Tamandua tetradactyla: one gene and its partner. The protein of the gene in region 2 interacts with the protein of the main gene of each other region in a pairwise test. Links are inferred from orthologs where the notes say so. Each region holds a gene or a part of one and is shown on either strand. Other genes may lie near its edges.

Region 1 (3,747 bases), on a different chromosome or scaffold from region 2:
ATAGATTAACCGAGAAGCAGAAATGAAGAGAGTGCGGCAGAGTCAACGCATTTGATGCTCGGGGGTTTCTATGATTTCCGGGGTCCTCGCTCCACCACTCAGACGGTCCAGCTAATCAGAACCGAGGAAAGGCTCTGCAACTAAAAACACTTTTTCGGTGGTAGGCTTACCTCAGCAGAAAATAATCTCAGTTCCTGGAATTGAAGAATGTTTATCACAGTTTTTGAGGGGGAGGGCAAGAGGGGATTCTACTTAAGTAACTGAACTTCATAGGCGATCCACTAATTCGCTCAAAATTTGATTCACTTGTTTAATGAGAGTGGGCGTAAGTAGAGTAAATAGCTGGAATCTGATTTTTCATAGGTGGAACAAATACATTGCCCTCTCCACACAATCCCCCGCCCCCGCCACGCCCCAGGTGCGAAGACTTCTGGGGATAGGAGATGAGTCCTTTCTTTCCCCTATGGATATCAGCGATTTCCTCTTCCTCGGTTTAGCGTCTCCAAACTGACTGCGCTCTTTGCTGACAAGAAGTCATCACTCGTTTCTTTATTTCTTCTCGCTCCCCTAAGAACTTTTGGTTCGCGGGAGGGGGAGGGGGAGAGGGAGAGGGGTCGAGGCAATGAGAGATTGGAATCATGGAGGACATTATCCACAAAGGGGTGGAGGTTTGGGGAATGGGGAGGCGTGGAAGTCAGCACTGAGGCTCTGAAGCTTCGGGACACGCTCGGCGCGCTCTTCCCACCCCCACCCCCCCCAACTCTCTGCAGCCGCCCTTTGCGCCGCGGACACGGGAGAGTTAAGCCAATAAACACGTAAGCGCCGCTCCCTCCCCAATCGGCAAGATGCCTCTTCGGCTCTTGGCTGCATCGACAGCTTGCAACACTCCGCATCTTTTCTGGAGGCGCCTTCTTCAGCGGCTGCAGATGGCATCCGCCTGCGGACTCGGGGCTTGCAATTGATCTTTCCCATTGCCCACCTCGGGTCCACGGACACACCTCTCCCTTTCCCTCCTCCCCTCGCGCTCCTGGGTCTGAGCCCAGCTCCGGATCGCCGGGCGGAGCAGGCAGTCGCGGCGGCCGAGGCTGAGCAGCAGCGCGCTCGCTTCCTGATTTGGGGGGAAGCGCCCACTCGGGAAAGCCGACCCCTAGCCGCCTCCAGCGCCCCCCACCTTTTGCACCTTAAACCGGGGGCTCCAGGGACCCCCCCTCCCCAGCCACCACTATGCTGGACCCTTCGTCCAGCGAAGAGGAATCGGATGAGATCGTGGAGGAGGAGAGCGGCAAGGAAGTGCTCGGCTCGGCCGCGTCCAGCGCGCGCCTGTCTCCCAGCCGCACAAGCGAGGGCTCGGGCAGCAGCGCCGGGCTAGGGGGCGGCGGCGGTGCCGGGGCCGGACTGGGCACCGGCGGCGGCGGCGGGGCCAGCGGCGCGGGCAGCGGCGTTGGGGCCGGGGGGCTGCAGCCCAGTAGCCGCGCCGGCAGCGGCCGGCCCTCCAGCCCCAGCCCGTCGGTGGTGAGCGAGAAGGAGAAGGAGGAGTTGGAGCGGCTGCAGAAGGAGGAGGAAGAGAGAAAGAAGAGGCTGCAGCTCTATGTGTTCGTGATGCGCTGCATCGCCTATCCCTTCAACGCCAAGCAGCCCACCGACATGGCTCGCCGGCAGCAGAAGGTATGAGCGCTTGGGAGGCCCAGGGAGCAGCGCCGGGACGTCCCCAGGCGGGCGGGGCAAACAAAGGGAACTGGCGGCGCCGCTGGCGAGGAGGAGGAGGAGGAGGAGACCGCGCCCTGGGGAAGGTGCTGCGAGGCCCCATCCCGCGGCCCAGCCCTGCCCTGTACGGGAAGCGCCGGGAACTTCCCAGGGCCCGCAAAGGCCTGAAGCGCCACGCCGCGCGCCCAGGCCTCCCTTCTCCCGAGCGCAGGGGAGCGAGGAAGGTTCCGCTTTGTGGCCCGGGAGACTCGAGGGGTGACTTGCAGCCCCCGGTGCCCAGAGAGGCCTTGCTCACTTTCAGAGCTCCCAGCGCTCTCCAGCGGTTGGCGGCTGCGCTCAGCTCTGGGCCCGCCCTCCTGGGCGTGCTCTCCGCGGGCGGGGGCACTCGGCAGGAGGGGGCGCTAGGAGCTCCTTGGAGCCGGCCGAGCTCGCCAGGGCAGAGAACCAGCGCAGGGGACAGGAGGGAGAAAGCAAGCCTGGAAGGCTAAGCTTGGGGAGGTGCTGCCAAGACCGCCCTCCTCTCCGCACCCGGGCCAGCTGATCACTAACCAGGGTTGCCTAGAGGTCCTGGAGCACAACTCCCCTCTGGTAGGGGTTCTCCATTCCTCTTTTTCTCTTCTGCACTGATTCCAGAGCTGGGCACGACCTCTGGTCTTTCGGCCTGGGTCAGCCCCTTTTCCTCCCTTTGACCCTCATCTCTTCCCAAGGTGATTTCGCCGCCACCGCCTGGCTCGCCGAGGCTCTTCAAGCCCTTACGTTGCTGACTTGATAAAGTGTCGCTGCAAAAAGCCTCGCAATTTAAAATCAGGATCAAAAGCTTTTGGAGTCTGAGGCTGGGATAAGGCTTTGGACTGACTTTGATATGAAAAAAAGTGCCTATTTCTCTTCTCCAGTTGGAGAAAGGGAAGGTGTGGTTAGCTCAGGATAAGGGGCAGCGGCGGGGTTCCTGAAGAGAAGGTTGGATGCCTAGCTCAAGTGAGTTAGTGACCAAAGTCAGCATTTTGTTCCCTTTTAAGTGAATCTGCTGCACATCAGCTATCAGAAAGGCCTGTCAACCCCCTCCCTCCCAGATAAATCAGCTCAAACTCCATAAAAAATGTGAGGACCCGTTTCTTAAAATATTGAATTCTAGGTGGCTGTCATTTAAGACTGAATTGAAAGTTGTTCTAGTAGGGTGTTAGGTCGTCCCCTAGGTTTAGCTGTCCTTATCTTAAGTTGGTACAGATGTCTGTTTGTTTTCTTTGTATATGTTCATACATCACCCAGCACTGCTGATTTATTCTAGCTATCACAAGCTTGGGTATCAGTTTTATTAAAAGCAAAACTCATTTCCTGGTTGAAAAACAGCAGTGGGCTACACGCAACAGCAGGATCCCCTCCCCCACTCCCCAGAACTGCTTTGCACTACACAGCCCCTTGTGTTCTTCACCCTTTGTTTTGGACCACAGTAGAACATAAGTAGCCTCAGAGCAGTAAAGTTTTTTTGTTGTTGTTTGTTTGTTTGTTTTTAATTTTCTTTTAAGGTTGGCTATTGTGTTCTTCAGTGGACAGGGTCTGATATTTCAAGTTACAACTTAAAATTATTGTGGCAATTGTCTTTACAGGAAATTCCATCTCCAAAATATATCTCATAATTAGCACCAACCAACGATGTCCTATTCCTTTCACAATGAAAACTGCTGTCCTTTAAAGAAAAAAGAAAACAGGGAAACCCCTCCATTTATCAGTCAGATGACTCCAGGGCTCTGTTCTATAAATAGATCTATACACTAGGCACCAGAATGGGGAAATAAATCCATTCCCACAGAGACCACTTTTAAACAGTGTTCAGCTACCTGAGAAAGAGTACCAGGAGGTCAATTCTTTTCTGATCTGATTACAGTTTGCCTGAATTCAAAGATGCAGTTTTGAGGGACAAGCTGCTTTGTTTTTTTCACATGACCTTAACATCAGAGAGAGTCCAGGACAGATTGATGCATTTAGTCAAACTATTTTTAGTTATCACAGCAAACTAATGCTCTCTGTATGTTCCAGCAAAGCTAA
Region 2 (3,747 bases):
TGCCAGTGGTGATGTTTGAACAATGAGACAGGAACTGGGCTTACATTTGTCTCATTGTACTTTAATTCCTTAATTCCCTTAATGAGCATGCTACTACAAAATGAAGTGAAAATATTTTCCTTATTTGCTTTAATTTACAGAAAAATCCATTTGATCTTAGAGTGAAGAGAGGGTTTTGGTTTCCTTTTACACTTGATCTTAGCCAAAAGGCCGAGAAGCGATGGTTTCTTTTTAAGTGTTCATTTTGAATTATGCTTTCTGTAATGAATTCAAAGCATATAAAGGGAAAACCATGTTTCTTCACCAGCAGGTTTCACAATGGCTATTAGATGGCCACAGCATCCCCAAACCCGCAGAAAGTGGGTGTTCGGGGGAAGGGAGGGGACTCAAGAGTTGAAGTTTTGCCAAGGAAATTGATTCTGACACCCAAAACCATAGGCTGAACGTAAGCCCACGAACCTGGGAAGGCCTAGGCCTGAAGCAGGCCCCCGCTTGAGTGGCCTCTGATCCCAGAAGATGAAGAAGCGGACACCGGCTCCAGGCCGCCTGGCCTCAAAGGCAGCCTGGGAGTTCCGCACAGAGGCCTGGAGCTGCTAGCTCTGGGGCGTGGCCTGGACAGACACACGCACTGGCTGACAGTGGTGTCCGCGCGCTGAAAAGAGGGCCAGGATGGCTCTCGCTGTAGCCAAGGCCACAGACCCGAGTACCTACCGGGCAATGGACGGCAAAGAAGGGGCGAGAAAGACCAGCTGGAGGTCCTGAAAAGGCCCCGGACCTGCTGGGGCCTGGGTCTGGGCTCCTGGACTGACGCGGCCTGGGTCCGGGTTTACAGGTCAAGCTCTGGCCTCAGGGCCTGCTACGGATCCTCCCCCGGCAGGCTCGGCGCTGCTTGGCCCCGCCTCTCTCCCCGCCCCATATTGCTTTGGGCCCCGCCTCTCGCCCCACCCCATCTGGCCTTGCTCCTGCCTCTCGCCCCGCCCCCTCTGCCTTGCACCTCCCACTTCCCGCCCCTTTCGCTATGCTCCATACCCCATTCTCCGCCTAGCGCCCGCCCCCCTCCGGCCCCACCGCGTGGGGGCGCCGGCTTGCCCACTCGCTATAAAGGCGTGGGGGCCCTGTGTCTGGCTAATCTGCTAGTGAACTCGAGAGGCGCCATGGACGATCGCCCCTTGTTCAGGGAATCCACAGCCATGCACCCCGACCGCCTGTGGATCTGGGAAAGAAACGTCTACTTGGACGAGAATCAGCGCACCTGGATACCTGTATGCCTCAAGGTACAGCTGCTTTGGGGCCCGGATGGGCGGGTCAGCAGGAGCATCCGCCTCCCTGGCCCGGTTCTGGGGAAACTGGAGATACCCCAGGCTGCACAGAGCACTCAAGGAGCCCCTCTGGCCCCTGGGTGAGGGTCACAGCAAGGAGGCTCTAAAGGGGCCTCGTTCTCCCTGGGTGGCCTGGCCTCACAGATGAAACCACTTTGAGCTGGCCCCAGAAAAATGAGTAGGAGTTCTCCAGGCAAGGAAGGAGGGTGAGAACCTCACAAAGGAATGAAGCAAAGCATGGGAACCTCTTGCCTCTGGAGCATGTGAATATGCTCTTGAATAAGACAGGACTTTTCTGGGCTTTATGTATCTAATCTCCAAAATGGGCATAATAGATCACTACAATAAGTGATTTACCCACCTAGCCAGTTATCACACGTTCTGGGCTGGGCCTCAGAAATCTACATTTCAAAAAGGGTGCCCAATAGACTATGCAACCAAGTTAGGAAACTGATGCCCTAGATTTATGGGGGTATTTCATGCCTCCTCTATGCTTTGAAAGAAACAAACTTAAGTAATATAATAGTATAAAAGCAGGTACTGAATAAACGTTGACTTTGTTTTATGTATGATGCTTTAAGATGGAACTTCAGTTCTTTTTTAAAAAGAGATATAACTCTTTTGCAAATACCTTCCACAAAAGCCCAGGTTTCCCCAAAGAAACTTAAGGTTGAAAGTTGAATGACTTTCCATATATAAACCAAAGGAAAAAAATGTAAAAGCAAAATTAAAATATAAAGTATTAGAACATTTATGTCCTATAATAGTAAACAGCAGAAGGTTATTGAGTATTGACTGTGTCTCCATTGTAAATGAGGAAACTGAGGCATAAAAATGTAGATTTGTCCGGGTAGTACTGGTAGTGGTAATTGGGTTGATTCCTGACACTTAACCACTGTCTAAACCTTGAATGTTTATTGGCATTAAAATTTTAAAACTATCCATGTATACACACAAACACACATGCACACACACTCTTTTTAAAAATCAAGTAAAATACTGATTTTTTCACGTCGCGTATTTGAAGAAATACTATCTTTGGGTTACTATCTTTGTTTATCCCTGGTTAGAAATTATCTTCTTCAACATGACACCAAAACCAAGAACCAGATAGAAGTTTTCTGCACCACCATGATACATTCTACACAGAAAACAACCCACTAGCAAATTTGCCACACATGACAAAGGGACTGGAACAGTATTCTTAATATGTAAAGATATACTTAAATCAACAAGAAAAAAGTGAATAGAAACTAAAAATAATTAATGGATATGGAAGATTGTAGACATTGACACAGCAAAAATGATTGCAATGTGAGCTGAATATTTTTTTCACAGTGAACTCTATTTCATAGAAAAATTTTAAAAAGCTATTTCTCCTTTGGAAAAAGTATTGAAAAAATGGGAGAGCCTAGAATACATGCTAATCATGATTTGAGGCTCTGGGGATATGCAGTGAATGTGATAAAATCTCCACTACTTGTGAAGCTGACATGGATAGCAAAATAATTCTTAAACTGCTGGTAAATTCTGTAGGAGAACTAAAACAGGAAAGAGGGGTCAACAAGTGATGTGGGGATCTTCAGGCAAGACTTCTCTGAGGGTCTTAATTTGCACTGGCCTGATACATTTTTGCCATCATTTTGTTTGTAACCTTGATGAATCTCTTTATTTTAGGCATGTCTTTATGTATCTCACAGAAGTAGATTTTTCTGACTGTTTTCTTTTAATTGGTAAATTAAACTCATGTTCTGTTATTGATCTAACTGATAAACTAGATCTCAGTTCTATCTTTCTGTTTTATGTTATATTTGTCTTGGTATCCATACATTTGGGCCCTGCATAGTCTTGGGGAGAATGTTCCAGGCAGAGAGAACAACAGGTACAAGGGGTTGCTGAGTGCAGACATGAGTGTGGCATGTCCCAGAAATGGCAAGGGGTCAGAGTGACTGGAGTGGAGGGGAGGGTGAAGGACAGAGCAAGAGAGAGAAGGGACCCAGCTCTTTTGGTTTCCATGGGCCATGGTATAGATCTGGGTTTATATACCTGTGATGAGAAGCATAAGGTCTTGAGTGGCACACTGGCATGGTTTTTAGATGCTCATCCTGGCTGCTGTGCAGAGAACCAATGTGGGGCCTAAGACCAGCAAGTAGGCAAAAATTAGGGAAATGATTGGTAGAAGAATGGTGATGCAAAGGGATCTGTCACCAGATTTGTGGTCAAGGGATACCTTGGTTAAAAGAGGAAATATGATAGAAATAAAGAGCAATGCAAGAAAATCCTATGACAGCTGAAATGGACACCTGGGTCCCACAGTATGTCCTGGCCAATAGGAGTTTGTCAGGAAAAAAATGTCTACCTTTTCTGGCCCTCTCCAGTTGGCTAGACACATGAGAGTGCTTGTCATCTTGGCCATCCAGGGTTCCTG

Evidence for each region. The genes of interacting proteins can lie anywhere in the genome.
Region 1: the proteins of TCL1A (region 2) and CADPS interact in a two-hybrid assay, tested with the Homo sapiens proteins (3 studies listed by BioGRID and IntAct). The two-hybrid records come from large-scale screens. The link is inferred for Tamandua tetradactyla from reciprocal best matches to the Homo sapiens genes TCL1A and CADPS.

The regions. Positions count from the first base shown.
Region 1 is NC_135341.1:21,822,166-21,825,912, forward strand, and holds the start of CADPS (calcium-dependent secretion activator 1), read left to right. Parts: upstream 1-857; 5' UTR 858-1,224; coding exon 1,225-1,665; intron 1,666-3,747.
Region 2 is NC_135338.1:56,901,771-56,905,517, reverse strand, and holds the start of TCL1A (T-cell leukemia/lymphoma protein 1A), read left to right. Parts: upstream 1-1,099; 5' UTR 1,100-1,154; coding exon 1,155-1,274; intron 1,275-3,747. UniProt on the Homo sapiens protein: Enhances the phosphorylation and activation of AKT1, AKT2 and AKT3. Promotes nuclear translocation of AKT1. Enhances cell proliferation, stabilizes mitochondrial membrane potential and promotes cell survival.